Linked DNA regions of Struthio camelus. The protein of the gene in region 2 binds, or shares a complex with, the protein of the main gene of each other region. Links are inferred from orthologs where the notes say so. Each region holds a gene or a part of one and is shown on either strand. Other genes may lie near its edges. The genes, in order: GID8 and ARMC8.

The links.
Region 1: the proteins of ARMC8 (region 2) and GID8 are in contact, whole or in part, in a cryo-EM structure (PDB 7NSC), measured with the Homo sapiens proteins. The link is inferred for Struthio camelus from reciprocal best matches to the Homo sapiens genes ARMC8 and GID8. Residues at the interface, in NP_001350870.1 of Homo sapiens: Asn45, Val47, Ile48, Gly49, Asn50, Val85, Ser89, Met92, Arg127, Arg130, Arg161, Tyr162, Tyr166, Leu200, Ser201, Tyr202; in NP_060366.1 of Homo sapiens: Ile83, Ala84, Asn87, His90, Pro91, Glu92, Leu94, Asp95, Thr96, Tyr101, Tyr183, Glu184, Asn185.

The regions. Positions count from the first base shown.
Region 1 is NC_090959.1:16,275,301-16,283,179, reverse strand, and holds the start of GID8 (glucose-induced degradation protein 8 homolog), read right to left. Parts: upstream 4,270-7,879; 5' UTR 4,048-4,269; intron 2,972-4,047; 5' UTR 2,960-2,971; coding exon 2,842-2,959; intron 1,609-2,841; coding exon 1,412-1,608; intron 908-1,411; coding exon 710-907; intron 384-709; coding exon 210-383; 3' UTR 1-209. UniProt on the Homo sapiens protein: Core component of the CTLH E3 ubiquitin-protein ligase complex that selectively accepts ubiquitin from UBE2H and mediates ubiquitination and subsequent proteasomal degradation of the transcription factor HBP1.
Region 2 is NC_090950.1:5,470,189-5,478,067, forward strand, and holds the start of ARMC8 (armadillo repeat-containing protein 8), read right to left. Parts: upstream 4,175-7,879; 5' UTR 4,057-4,174; coding exon 3,964-4,056; intron 3,464-3,963; coding exon 3,387-3,463; intron 1-3,386. UniProt on the Homo sapiens protein: Component of the CTLH E3 ubiquitin-protein ligase complex that selectively accepts ubiquitin from UBE2H and mediates ubiquitination and subsequent proteasomal degradation of the transcription factor HBP1.

The DNA.
Region 1 (7,879 bases), on a different chromosome or scaffold from region 2:
GCATAGCCTAAGTCAGACTTTCAAAGAGATACAGCGCCTTTCAATGCAGTTTTTGCAGCATTCAAAAGGGACTTTTCTCCCTTCAAATTAGATGTTCATTGAAAAATCTGAATTGAGTGCTGTACTGTAGTAAAAATATTTCAGTCACAGACTGATATAAATGTATACTGTGCAGTACTAAGATTATTTGATGTCCATCTGCACACATTTTACTTAGGTTCTTCAATTGTCCCCTTGCTGAGGTCTGTCATTTTGGGATATTTCACTTTCTTCTGGTCCAGCTCATTCTGAGCCCACAGTAGTAGCTTCAGTAACTTTGCCAACTTGGGTGTTGATTCACGATTTTCATAGTCTAGGACAGCTTGGTTCACCTCACTCCATACCTGGGAAAGAAATACTAGAGTTTAGTAGTAGTTTTCCTATGATTAACACCAGTAACATCACACAAACATTGATGACCGCACACAGTTTGTTGACTCCGCTGAATACGGTCAGGAAAAAGTTCCGTGTTTTCTCCAGTCTCATAGGATATGGAAGAGAGCCAAGCAGTTGACTCTAGCAGCATCAGTTTTTTGAATTTCACTTCAGAGATATTTCTGTTCTTTTACCTACCACTGTATACATGTTTCTAGACATTTCTAAAAATATTTAGACACCATTTTACCACATACGAATAAAAGACGAGAATTTTGTTTTGGGAAAGTACTACCTTCTGTCGTTGCATCATGTTAAGCAAGTCTCCAAATGGTGACTCTTCAGGATTATCAAAGGCAAGCAAAGCCAGCGTACGCTCCATTTCTGTCAGGCATTCTCTGCTCTCCTCTCCTTGTTCTGCTAACTGGGTCTGAGCAAATTCCAGAGCTGCTTCTGTCTCACGCTGCCGAATCAGTTCAATCAAATGCTGCTGCTACATATGAGAAATACAGCAATATTAGCTAAACTAATCAGCAAATCTTCAGTATTTCAAGACTGTAACCTTCAGTCATTAGTATGCAATTTGAGACAAATACTAGTTGATAATCTTGACAGTTTGAAGTCATTTCTTCCACGTGCGTGAGACAGAGTAGCAGACTTGTGTACAAAATCTACTGAAAAGACTGACACTTTTGAAGAACAGGTTTTGAAAGACGTTACTACCAGAACTACCAGAAATCCAAGGTAATAGTTATTTGGAAGTTGGTAAGTCAGAGAGGACTGTTGTTAGAAGTTTTCATGTTACTAATTGTATATGATAGTTACTGCACTGCATGCCACAAAGTTTCCCCTTGCTACAAAATGATGTCAAGAACACTTGCAATTGCAGGCATATTCAGTTAGAACCCCTCAAGGCGCTTCTAAAACCCACACCCGTTCTTTTTCCAGTCTCTCAGCAACCCTGACAAGAAAGATAAAATTCGCCACTTGTCCATACCTGCAAATGAAAATAAAGATATCTGTTTGTATCTAACAGTTCTGGATGGAGACTGTTTATTAATGCAATGGCTTCTTGAATCTGTCCTTTCAATATCATTTCTCGAATTTTTATTCTTTCATCCAGGGTCTCCAGATCAACACTGGGTTCAATTCCAGACTCCATTCGAAATTTCTCTGCTGCCTCTTTAAATCCCTCTGAAACAGAAACATTTTCCCTTAAAAAACTATTTAATGAAGCACCTTAAAAAAAAAAGCGCGCACACACACACACACAGAGCTTAAATTAAAAGACTGGTATATTACTTGTGTATTCTTGTCATTAAAAGATTAATTCTGAACTTCTGAAAAGTTCTTATCATTTAAATAGGTACCTATTAATTCTAATAGGCATCGAATAATGCTTAGTTCATTCTTAATTCAACTGCCCATTCTCTAAGGATGCATGCAAGTTATAGTCCAACATCTCTTAAATATAAAACTTGTTTTACACTTAAATTGAGCAGTATACTTATCCCAAAATGTTACTATTTTCCAAGTTTGGGCATTTTTCCTTCTCCCTATGCCCCCTCAATTCTGTTTACATGGACCTACCAGTTTTACTGAGAACAAAATGAAAAAAGAAATTGGTTTTGTTTCCCATACTAACACTATATTCTTTGGAAAAAAGTTACAAGAGCTATTCTAAATCCTAAGTCCCGCTTTCATACGCACACAAATGATTTATCATACCTAACTATAACACCCACTGAAATGCTCTTCCTTCATCCCAGAGGCTCCAGCGACACAGCAGTGTAAACAGGGGTGTAGATAAAATACAAATGCCTCCGCCCCGGTACAGCTTACTGGAATAGTATTAATCATAATTACTAGGGCCCATTTCCGAGGGTTTTTGATTGTTCTAAGTATAACGTTAGGCTATATGCTAAACAGGTAAGTGGTTTTGGTCTCAGACTATTTTGATAATGGTGCCCTTTTGCAGTTGAACTTTCTAGCCAGTTAAAAGTTGCTTCTGACAATTGTTCTGTTCAGCTTTGAGAGCGCTTTTTAACAATAGCGACATACCTTGAACTCTGTTTTAAATGGCACAAAGAAGGACTAAAGCTGGAAGCAAGTCATGTTTGCTAACACTGTGTTCCAAAAAATACTCTCTTCTCTATACCACTTAGCAGAAGAGTTGGGATTAATAAGTGTCATTTCTTTCGTAAGAAATCTGCTTGAACTCCTTGCTTGGAGCTAATTAAGTTGGTTTCCATTTAACAGAACACAGGAGCAAATATATGTTGCTAAGAAAAGCCACTAGTAATTATGAAATCCTTACCACCCTTAATTTTACTCCATCCAGTAGCATGTTCTAGCAAAAAACTGTTTGTCTTGGTAAAATAAGTGACACACATTTAAGAGTCTCCTAGCATTACTACTCACTATTACCTGTAACAAGGTAGTTCATGATAAGGCGGTTCATGTCTGCTCTCTGAATGTGCAAGTTATTAAGTTTTTCCATCCATTCATCTTTTGTGATTTCATCAGGTTTTTCTGCATAACTCATCCTGGCCTCTTACTACAAGGAAAGAAAAGCAACTCATTTAACACGTTTCCAGAAAAAGTAAGTTTAACGTACATAAGCACTGTATTGCTACCACCTTTACAGCTGTCTATGAGATCTTTTAAACTAACACTCCAAAAGATGCCTGTTTATCCCAAATCATTATTTTTTATTTTTACCCACCTTGTTCCTGCACTCTTTCACATATACTGACCAGTCTCTAAAGCTGCTTTCCTCAACTGTCAAAACACAAGATTCACACATCACCTTTTCATCTTTCTCTTATATGTGGTCCAAATAAACATAGCATAAGAGTTATACAGCACACACAGCATCACAGTGTGACACAAATGAATCGAGAGTTTGGCAGCAAACCAGAAAATTTGTTAACAAACATTTAAAGCAAAGCCTCTGTGAACAACATCTACTTTAAAGCTTTCCTCCAAGCTTCGACTGGATAGCTACCTGTACTAGATAGCTACAAAACATTACGTGTTAAGGCATCCAATGCACAAATGAAAGATTCATACTAGCTTTGCTTGGCTGTTGACAGCAAAAGTACTCCTGACATCACATCCAAAATATTATTGCCTTTTTTTTCCCCCTACTTGGTTTTTTTTTTTTCCAGATTCGGAAGCAGAGCGCTTCGCAAAAATTTAAGCCGACATTTAATCACTTCCAGGCATCTATCTGCATCTCATAGGGGCAGCGAAAGGGGGAGGAAAGGCAACAACAACAGCAACAGGCACCGCCACCCCTCTCGGGCGAACCCGCGCGCGTTCCCACCGCCGGCCCGTTTCCAACAGGTTTTTCTCCCCCGACGCTCGCGGCCGAAGCCACGACCGGCCCGGGGAAAGTTGGGCGGCGGGAGCCGGGACCAGCCTGGCGCCGGCTGAGGGGCCGATCGGTCCCTGCCCCCCGAGCCACTGCCCCCCGACCCAGCCCTCGCCAAGGCCCGGGCTCCCGAAGCGCCCGGCCCCGCTCGCCGCAGGCCCCAGCGCCTTCCCCCCGCCCGCAGCGGCCGCGCCAGGGGAAGGGCCCGCCAGCCCCCGTCCCGCGGGGCAGGGAAGGGGCGGCCGGCGCCATCTTACCGAGCGCGCCGCGCTGCCGGCTCCGACGCACCAACGCGGGCCCCCGCCGCCGCCTCAGCCAGGCCGCTGGCTCGCGGGTCTCGCGAGAACTGCCCGCTCGGCCAATGAGCGCCCAGAGAGCGGCGAGAAAACGCAACCATAGAGTTGGGGCGCGGAGCAGAGCGTACGCCCGTCCCTGCATGTACCCACACGTCCAGCGGGGAGGCGATACCATAGAGACGAAAGGGGAGGTGGGAGCGGGAGGCTCGCCAGCACCATAGAGTTGAGGGAGACCCCGCCAGGGTGACCATGGGGGCGGGGGGGCGGCGGCCTACGTGCGAGGGAGGCGGCCGCGCCTGAGGGGCCGGGGGAGGCCGCGGCCGCCCGCCGTCCCCAAGGGGGTTGAGGGCCGGGGGCTCAGCCTGGGGTTACCGCCCGCAGAGTCGGCCCGGCCAGTCTTCCAGGGTCGCGCAGAGGGAGGCGGGTCTACTGTAGGTCACGGCTGGGCACGTTAATGTGAAATTAACGGTTCCGTTGCTGTTGGCGTGCGGGGGCAGGGTGAGCTGCCGCGGCGGAGGGCTCTGCTGTGGGATCTCTGTCGGAATTGGTACTGGCGGCGGAAAAGAAGCGATAAACTCCGCTCAGTGCCGCTAAATCCAATAGGAGTTGTGAATGAAAGCACTGTATAACGAAAAAAAAAAAATCAGTTTGTATATTTACGTGGAAAGCGGGCCTTAAGAGATGCAGTTTTTTCTGTGTGGATTAGTGGAGATGGTAGTCCCCTGGAAAATTCAATTTTCACAGAGGGAGAATAAGGACACAATTACTTGTTTGTTTCACTCCTTTTTTTTTTTTTTTTTTTTTGCAACTGTGCCATAAGCACAGTCTCCAAAACTCAGTTTCATTAAAACTGTATCCCCGTTGAAATTGAGAATCTCTGCATTTAATCGATAACACATGATTTTAACTTATTTCTCCAAACAAACCTCTAGGCTCATAAATAATACAGAGCTTTGCACAAAAGAAGAACGTATTTAGCCAGACATGCCATCAGCTGTCGTTAGCCATATGGCAAAGCTACAGTGTTGGCAAGTATTCCTGCTGCTTTGACGGGGGGCGGGATTTCTTCAGGCTTTAATCTAACAACCTTTCTCAGTGAATTTCACTCTTAGGCAACCATAACTTTTCTCTTAAATGTTCTGACCTGCATTTCTTGTATTTCTGAACCAACGGGCTTGTAAATCTCTGTTTCTTTTAGATGCCCTGATTTTATCAGCTCCTCCCTGAAAGGTGGGGTTTCTCAGGAGACTTCCATAAAGAGGGAGCGAGTGGGCAAACGCCCCTCTCTAGGAGGGTTTCCCGAGTTTGCTAGACAGGGAACCACACCTCAAGCAGAGAGGAGACACCAGAGTGTAATTCATACCACAGTTAGTGCTTACAGGTAAAGAGCAGAGAATAGGTGTAACTGCTTTCTAGTAAGTAGAATACCGTACTGAATAAGCCAACCAAAATTTGTGAGCTGCTGTTTCGCAGCATGTGTGATTGTGCAGCATTAATACTTTTTTTTTTTTTTTAAACAAGTTGGGCTGCTCAGCTAACTTCAATAGAAAAGTTTCCCTTTATCCTTTTCTTGTCCTCTGGGATAAAGAAAAGTAAAAATGGGCTAAAAGCAGATCCTGGGTCGTGGTTTTGCTTGTTGTGAAAAATGCTCTTTTTTCCCCCACCTATTTCTTTAGGAATGGGCTTTTTTTTCTGACCCTGAGGTTACCAAAAAGAAGTTTGTAATCTGTTTGTATAGAATGCAACGTCCACTGCATTCTCTTCTTCTTCCCTTTCCTCTGCTTTTTTTAGTTTGTTGATGTTTCTGGTAATGTCAAAGCTTCTTAGAGACAGCTTTATTTGAGAGGAGAAGAGGTTTTATAATCACTTGAGTTGCAACAAAAACATTTTCAATGTTGCTAATTAAGTGTTTTCTTACTGAGGCTGAAAACAAAGTGCTTTTCTGATGCCTGAGTTGTTTTATGTGGTTAAATAATATTGAATAGTACTGTTCATAGTAATGCTTTTTTGTTGGTTGCATTGGCCCAATGTGGTAAGATCACAAGTGTATATAATAACTTATAAAACTGTAATTACTTTATCTTGATATCGGCCTGTCTTCCCTACTAGTGTGCTGGATACGATGAAAATTCTGCATGTTTGAGGGATTCGGCAGTTTCCTGAGTGATAAAGGACATATACTTTGTACTAACTCTCTCCTGATATAAACCTGTCTAGTCCCCTTCTGTGTTCCCCTCCTTTTAACTTGTGTCCTATTGATTAAATGTTTAGTCATATCATGTATAATATCTGCTTGCTGTCTTTAACGATGTGCATATTTAGTGAGACACTTATGTACCCTGTGCTTTGTGGCCTGGAATACTGAAAGATTTGGCAATACCGACACGTATGGCTTGCAGGACTTTGTTCTAGTAGATACTAAGCCTCACAAAAGTGAAAGGGAGTAGGAAGGCACAAAGCTGTCTGGCAGTTCAGGGCAAAAGCTTCCTGCATCATTCCACTTCTTCTTAGCAGTAAATCCTAACTTCTATTAAGATTCTCCCCAAACTTGGAACCAAAACTTTGTTTTATTACTCGGTGAAAACCTTGCGGGACACATCTGTGGCTTGAAAGTTGGATTAGAAGGCATGGGAGAAAAGTATTTTGCTCTTTGGAAACTAGCCTGTGTCTTTGATGTGCCACCGTCCTACAATAATCTTACGGTAATAGGAGTAGTAATATTGTGGAAATTTGGCCTTTGTTATGACTACAAAATTGAGAATAAGCGAAACTTGTATGATATATCTGCTTAAGTAATTCAGTGCAATTTATAGAATTCTTACTTGGATTATGATCTGATAAACTTGAGTTTACTTGGAGGTATTTTGGTAGCTGCTATTTGGAGCTGAGTGGAGTCCAATAAACCCCAAACTAAAATCACTAATCCCTGAAGAAGTCACTAAAATCCCTGTGAAAGGGTACACGTTCAGGGAAAAAGTTTACCTGGAACTGGGAAAAAAAAAAAAATCCCTGGCAGCTTCTGTCTCCTGACAGGGAAGGGGAACGCTTTCTTTATGTGAACGTAATTAACCTGAGGGCAAAGTACTTCTGTGTGCACCCAGTGCTTATGAAAAATGATGACTCAGCTGCCTTGGAGAATTGAGCTCCGAAAGGACAGACTGCCTTGACACCCGTGGTGTCTGGTTTTGAGTTGTGTGCTGGACCGTGGAGGTGGAGAGGCCTTTATACACCAAAAAGGTAAAAACTTGAGCACAGCTGACAAAAATTAGCCTCTCCTGACTGAAAATGATCAATTATCTGTTCAAAAAACAAATGGAGGAGGGAAGAGCATTTGTTCATTTGCTTTCTTTCCTACTCTTTTCATGGGCTAGCTCTGACTCTAGTTTTCACTTGGCTGCTGAAGTTGGCTTCCTGGAACGTTCAGTGAGGAAGAACTGAGAAAAGGGGCTGAACATAAAGTAAGTATCATCTTTTGGGGCTCTGCATCTCCAAACGTTTGAAAATCTCAGTGAAGAGACGGGTGAGTGAAAGAGTGGAGTTGACATCCCTTTGCTGTTTTCTCACCATGTGAACCCGTATCAGGGGACGCCCTCTCTTTACAACACAAAGATAATGTCTTAGTGTGTATTACAAACCATAGTTTTATGGTAGTGCCTATAGACCAGGGTCCCCTTGTGTGATACACTGCAAACATAAGTAAGGCCATTTTGCAGCTACCCAAATTTTTTATAAAAATTGATACATTAGGGGAATTTGAGGAGAAAAATAGAAGATGCATCAACTGCAGGACAAA
Region 2 (7,879 bases):
AGAAAATTTGAACTGTAGAACAGTATACGGAAGATGAAAGGTTTAGAAGCACACCTAGGTAGACACAAAGCACACTCGTAAGACCTCTCAAGTATAAGCATGATGTACCGTTTAGGTTTACAGAAGGAAACTATGACTACACGAAGCTAGCTCAATTACAAGGACAGTAAATAGAAAGATAGATATGCACACTTCCATACAGATGTGGAGATGCAGAAATGGCATACATTTTAAAGAGCTCTTAATCAGGTACAGTAAAAGCCAGTAGTCATCCTTCTAAGAATCTCAAAATTTCAAGATCTGAACTGAAATTAATCATTTACTGGTGGGTACAAGCACTTACTTCTTCCTTGTGTATCTACTACTAAAGCTCAAATGAATATGACGATAGAAATGATGTGAAAAGAAATACTGCAGGGAACTTGGGACTTTGAAAGAAGATCAGTGGAGCTACATACAGCAATACCAGCCAAAAAGGAAATGCTTTCTCAGTTTTCCTATAAGGAGGAAAAGGAAAAAGCTCCTCAGCAGGTAAGACTTCATTGTCTGGCAAAAGAAAAAGAGAAGGAAAGGAAATAAGAGATTTGATAATTCAGATCCTTTCAGCATATGTAACCCTGAGCTTTCTCAAGTTACAAAATGTCAACTGCATTGACATGATTTTCAAGTTCAAGAAATACTTAGCTCCATTTTACCTTTATCAAGCCTAATTCAGAAGTTAGATTTCATTAAAATGTACAAGAGTGCAATAAAAGAAAAGGCCCAAACTCAAGTTATTCTTCCAGGTTTCCTTAATACCAGGTGAAGAACAGAACTACTGCACCTGAAGACAATCTGCAGAAACAAACCCTCTCAAGACAGCCTATTTCCTGGTCCTCGATATTCATACAGTTCCATCAATCAAAATAAAAATCTAGGTCATCAGTATTTTCAGCCAAGATGCAGGAAAAACAGCACATCTTAGGAACCAAAGATTTTCAGTGAATTATGCAGAACACTTGGCAAAGCTTCTGACAGACACTTCTGATGGGACTTTAATCCCCTTCTCCCCACCTCCCCCTAGCATCAGTTCATTCCAGGTTGAATACCTTTTTCAGATACCCTGAAGTCAAAGGAAGAAGGGCAAAGTAGTTCTTGTCTGCCTGAGGAGAATCTTGGACTGACAGAATTTGTTAGAGACTATATACACTATTCTGAACTGGACTGTATCACATCCATCCACCCATATTCAGGAAAAAACAAATCCATCACGCAGGATTTGCTTAGTGTCAAGAAAGATAGATTCTCAGAATTAGGATCTTAGCCAGAGTGTCACGGATCGGTCCTGTAACTTTTTCCTCCTTTTCCCCTGTACCCTTCAGGGGCACTAATCCTGTCAGATCTGTAACTTTCAAAGGTCTGAGTCTAAAGGGAAGGCATCTTCTGTGCAACTCCTTCAGCAGTTTCAAAGTAGCAGCATCTGTTACTCCAACAACTAGAATAACTCGGATCCATTCTTAAAAGACACCTCCTTCTTCAAATCTGTTCTTACTCACACCCCTTATAATCTCTCCAAACCTCAGAGCATTTGTTTGAGAAGAAATGTCTCCTCCACCAAGCTCAGCCTCAAAGATACTGCCACATGGTCTTCATGGTAGCAAAATTCAAACGGTAGCAAGAGCAGAATCCAAAAGAAGTGGATCCAAAGTGGATCCGTAAAGGACATGTCCAAGTACCACAGGAAAAGGATGATCTGAAAAAGCTACATGATAAAACGACCAAAATAGTGAGCTACGAAAAATTCATGAGGCAAAGCAGCAAAACATCTCTTATATTGGAAGCCAGGAACCAAGCTGGCAAACAAAAAAGAAAGTTATTGTAAAATATATTGGTATTCTGTTGTCTTTAAATGGATAGCTTATGATCTCTAACTGCAGAGACATATTCTGCAGTTACATAGTTGCCCCTTATCAATTTATCTGTTCTTAGACCACATTAAAACTGAAAGGCAGCTCAGCATAAAATCAATTGACATTGCAGATGCTAGCTGAGACAAAGAGACCGCTTAAGATTTTTGTTTCTGGGAAAACTCTTTGCTTAAACTTCAGAAGATGCGAATAACAACTCAAAAGATAGGGAAGGGATTCCCAAGGGTTGGGGTTCCACAGTTCTTTGAAAAGAAAGGACCGCAGGGAGGGAGCACCACCCAGCGCTCAGAGCATCTGCCGAGGAGAAAAGAGGGGGCTCAGTCAGCCCACTTGCACACAGGATGAGACACATCCTTGCCCCTGGGAACATCCAACTCACTTTTGTGAGCAGTGGACTAAGAAGGCCAAGAAGCAGAAACAAAGCCAAACTTTTCCACAGGGAACAGTTAAGAACCTGTAAATATTTACACTGGAGGACCAGAAGGTTTTATACAGGTAACAAAAGGATATTTCAACAACAACAACAAAAAAATCCAAGATAGTTTTATACAGGCTGGGTTTTTCAGGCATTTCAAAGGGATACTTGACTCTGATATGTTCCCTACTCCCTCCCTGGGACGCTTTCCAGAGTGACTTTGCTCATCTGCTATTGGAAACACCTCAGACTGTCCATGAGCAATGAAACCCAACATTCTTGGCTTTTTCATCCACTTAGGGCTTCAATGTCTTCTAGCACTTTGCTAGTTAGCCACTGCTAGCAAGTTACACGTAAGCCTGAGAAAGCCTGGTTTCACCACTAAAAGTCAGTCCTAGGCAAGGACTTGTGTGCCACATCCCCGTGTGAATATAACGGAAAGCTTATAGCTCAAGGACAGTAAGGAAACAACTAGATCTTTGCACCAATTTTACTATGCGCTCACTAGCGAGAGTCTTCTACTGAATTTTTCAGCCATTACCTCCTGTCACTGGTATGCAACAGACATACTGAAACATAAGTTATATCTAAATTAATTTCTATAGAAGCATTTTCTTTCAGCTCTCAATTCCCTTTGATGAGACAGAAGTCATATCCAAAAAAATCAACACTCCAGGCATGATGGCAGGGGAAACAGCTGAAGAGGCAAGTATGCTGACTTGGCAGTGAAATAAGAGAAAAAATTCTCATCAGACCTGGAAACGGAACAAAAGGAAAAGGCCAGAAGGAAGAAAAGTATCAAAAATAAATTTGAATGCTCACAGAATGTTTTACCTCATTTCTAGCAACTGGGAGGCTGGGGTACTAACCCTATGCACCACAAAGTGATAGTATGCTAAAACAACATTCTCATGTTTGCAGGAAAATTCACATAGCGAGTTTTCCAACAAGATTTATCTAAAAAGATGGGAAGAATCTCTTTCCACTGACATATCACACTACTAGAATTCAAGCAAACTTAGCCTAGGTACAACAACAGTTTGAATTTGTTTCATATGACTTACATGACACCTTGCAGGACTTTCTGGGGATCGAGGTCAAATAATCTGTCAACATAGTGGCGGCTACTGGCCGTTACTTCCTGCAGAGAAATAAATATATATATATATATATTTTTTAATAATTTACATCAACTCATATAATGGCAGACAAAAAGGAATGACTAAAAAAGCAGCAAGTCTACAAAACCTACCAGGCAAGATATCAGCAAAAACACAGAATCATATTTACGTGCAGTATGTTACTGCTGGGCAACACCCACACAAGGAATTAACCTTGTGTTTAAATGTGATTTAAAGAATAAGATTTACCTAAATGTGGATATCCATGTTATGAGTCAAAGCAAGTTAATGGAGCACCTCCACGTATTTAAATATTTATGAATAGGTCATGCAAGAAGGGGTCTACTTGAGGCATCAGTCCTGTCTTCACTTCAATTTTATTGTGTGTAATTACTACATAAGCAGAAAATCCCTTACAGAAAAAGTTCTTAAGAACAGTTAACGTTGCTCAAGAAGCATACCCACAAGCGAACTCTCAAAAATAAGGAAGCTTGTATTGAGACATTTTTCTGAAACTTACCTTATTGGAAATATTTACATGTTTCAGAGACTCTGTCCTTCTATAAACTGGTCCCCACAATTCCAACACGGACAGCAGCACAACACCCTCCATAACATTCCCCTAGCTACTCTATAACACAAAGTGAACTAACTCTCCTCTCGGCAACAGGACCGTGCTTGCAAGTTAAACGCTTATGCACCAGTGATCTGTCATTCTCTCTGAGAAGCTCCAAAGTTGGAGAAGGAAAGCATTCCAGAAGAGAAGGGTGGGAAAAGGCAAGGGAATTTTCCCTCCAGGTTCTCATGAACACGTGCCAGAGCGCCTCTCCGCTGTCTCAGTTCTTTTTGCCTGCTCAACCTTCTACGAGCCTTCTCCTGTTTTCCCCTTACGAGTTTTCCTTGAAAGGAGCTATAAGGAAGCTGTAAAGTCCTCCTCGCTTTCGGGAGCATCTACACTTGGACTAAGCCTGCTCCTGCCTCCCCCTCCAGATGCTGGAGGTGCCAGCAGCTTCTTGCCTGTAGTCCCACACAAGTCTGAGAGAAAAAGAATCATCTAGAGACTGCAGGCGTCTTGCCTCCAAGAGTACTACTACGTTCTGCCAAATAAATTTGCTTTCAGTTCAGCTTTCACCACGTAACCAAGGACAGCGTTTTTGAGAACAGCAGCGGGCTTTCACCTGCCAGGTCTATATGTTTATACGCAAAAAAAATATTTTGGACTTCAGACCTCCTGCTTCTAACACATCCCGGCTTTCACCCTACTGACTATTAGATCTGTAGCCTGGTGAAGAAGGTCGGTCATATGCAGCCAAACAAGTTTTTCCAAAAAAAAAAAAAAAAGTATCGGGGAAAAAAGAAATTTATTGACGTTATCATAGTCTCAGGGTCCTCTTAGCTAGCAGCAAACCGCAGCCAGAGAAGCCCTTAAGCTCTCCGAGGAGCAGCCACGCTGCAGCCCTGGGCGCTGTGCCTCCCCGCGGCGCCGGCGGCCGTGGGAGGCGGGCACCGGGCACCGGCGCCCTCCCCGCAGCGGGGGCCGCGGCAGCGCGGCCAGGAGGGCACACGACCGGCGTTTCGGCCCCGGACAGCCCCCCGCCCCCCCACACCGCCGCCGTTCCCCCACGCGGCCGCTCGGCGCTGCGGCTCCGCTCGCCGGCCGCGAGTTGCCGCGGGCCCGGGAGGTTCACGGCGGGGCGCCTGCAGACGCCGAGCCGCCCCCCCCCCCACCCAAAAGGGAGGTGAAAACCCCTTCGTTAAAGGTTAAATCCGGGCGCGTTTCACTGTCAGACGAGCCGAACTCTCCAGGAAGCGGCCGGGGGCCGCCCCGGCAGGGCGGCACGGCAGCGGCCCGGGGGAAAGCCGCCCGCCCGGCCCGCGGCCCCCCCCTTCACCCCGCACACAAAGCGGGGCCGCCGCGAAGGCCAAGGTCAGGCCGGGCCCGGGGGCGGGGGCGGGGCGGGCCGCGCGGCACTCACCGAGAGGACGCTCATGCGGAGCGGCGCCTCCAGCACGCACGCCATCTTGGCGGACGCAGCAACTCCGGCGGCGGCGCCCTCAAGCCCGCGCGCGCGCCGCCGCTGCCGCCGCCACCACCGCCGCCGCCGGCGGGCACGGCCACATCGCGGAGCGCGGCGCCGCCGGGGCGGGGGGGGCGGGGGGGGGGGGAGAAGAGGGGAGGGGCGGGGCGCCGCGGACCTCGCGCCCAGCGAATCGGCCGACGCCGAAACCCCGCTACCTTCCGCGAGCCCGCGCCGCCGCGCCTGCGCCGCCAGCGCGCCACGGCAAGCCGCAGGGCGGGCACCTTCCCCCCGCCACACCTCCGCCCGCGCATGCGCCCGCCGCCGCCACCACAGCCGCCTCTCCCGCGCCGGCCCGTGAGTCAGGCGGGCGGAGCGCGCAGGCGCGGCGCGCCGTTACGGGGGCCCAAAGGAGGGGGAGAGGGGAGGGGCGGGCCCCGCGCAGCACGATAACGCCGGGCGAGAGGCGCTGCTGCAGCAGCTCGCCGGGGGCCTCGGTCCCGCAGCCGCTCAGCGCCAGGGCAAAGCTTACCTACCCGCCGAGCCGCTCGGGAAGGCACCTGGGCGGCAACGGGGGCCCTGCCGCTGCTCCTCCTCTCGCTGGGGGAGGCGGCGGCGGCTGAGCTCTTAGCTGAGGCAGCCCCCGCTGCCGTCTTCCTCATCCGCGGGGCAGGAACGGCAGCGGGACTTTCGAGGGAGCCCCTCGGTCTCCTCCTGCGCGGCCCTAAGGCCCCGAGGGCAACGCCAGCACTCGGCAGCCTGACTAAACCCCCGTCCTCGCTCCACGAGGGCCCAGGTAATCCGGTGAGGTGCCTTCCTGACTGCCGCCGCTCTGCAACAAGCAACGAGGCTTCGCTTTATCTGCCTCTGCTCTGACTGGCCTGGGGGAAAGTCATGGCTTCTTCTGACATAATCTTGTTGCGGTTTTGGGGGGGGGGGGGGGAGTTGTAGTGAAAACCTCAAGAAAAAGCAGGAATTTATCCAGTTTGGCTGTAGCTTTCCGTAAGAGCTGATATTTTGGTATTAGTCCTCCTGTATTTCGTTCCTTGAGATGTGGGGACGTCATTACTCCTGAAGACAGCACTGAATGGGGGCGGGAAGGTAAAACCACCCCAGGTCAGGGTTCACTTAAGTCTTCATTTTTGCTATTGTAAGGTAACTGTTAAACCCAAGTTTGCCAGCTGTTAGCAGAGATTCTGCAGAGGATAACAGGGGAGCACAATAAACGTTTTAAGATGCTTTCAGAAGTTAACTTTAATAGCAGCTGATGTTTGCTTTAACTTGAAAAATATTCCACTTCTCAAGAAAAAGTAGTTATACCCCTTTTCTTAGTTTGTTGCTCTTTGCGTAGATTTAATATAACATGCTCTGAACAAAATACTTGTGTTAGCCACTTTTCTCAAGCACTTTATAGATAACAGTAAAAACGTTTTCAAACTAAAGGCAAGTCTCATATACTGAACAATGTGATTATGGCCTGTACCACAGTCTCATGGAGATGAGCATTTTCCAGATATTTCTCACTAAAATCAAAGAGAGTCAAAAAATTGCAAAGACTTTTAAAACTTTTTAAAGAGGGATGAAGACTCTGGATCTTAAGAGCCAATTGAACTGATTATCAGCCTTTCCTACTCTTCTACATACTTGTTGGAATTTATGGTCGTCTTTACTGGAGAGGCTTCAAATTCAGTACTGCAATTGAGTTCTACATGCAGCAGAGAACCCTGCTGACAGGGAAAATCCATAGTGGATGAGAGCACAGTTAGAGATGGGTACTTTAAATTGCAAAGAGGATGCAACTGAAAGAAAGAGCATAGCAACTCTATAAAGATCAGACACAGGTTGTACTCCAACATTTTTTATGGTAAGTACATTTACCATCTGCACCCTGCTCAGTGGGTGCTGAAAAACTTCATTAAAAGAAAAATAAAATCTTTGAAGATTTAAAAACCAGCATTCTACCTTGGCAAAACCTCCTGCTTTCTAGAGAGCCAAAATACATTTATCAGAAAGGAAAAGACATTTACTTTAAAAATCATATGGAATCAGACTAAAAGTCTATCAAATATAACCAACATCTTCCACTCCAGTTCATGTAGAATTAGACAGTTGAATATCAGGCTCAGATTTTTTCAGAGGCTATTCAGGCTCCTTCCAGAATTTACGCTTAAAATTTCCTCTGCCCCCTCAGAAAGATGAAATAAAGTATTTCCATGATAGTCCCAGATCACGCGAAAACATAGGTATAGTTAAGATCTTAGGAACAGACCCAGGACCCTTAAAGATATCCCTCAGCTATCTTCAGTAACCTAGCTGACAGTTCACAGCTATTTGGGATAAGCTGAAGGTTATACTAAGTTTCCACTTTTTTTTTTTTTTTTTTTAAATCACATCTTACAACTCTTCAGTGAGTGTTCT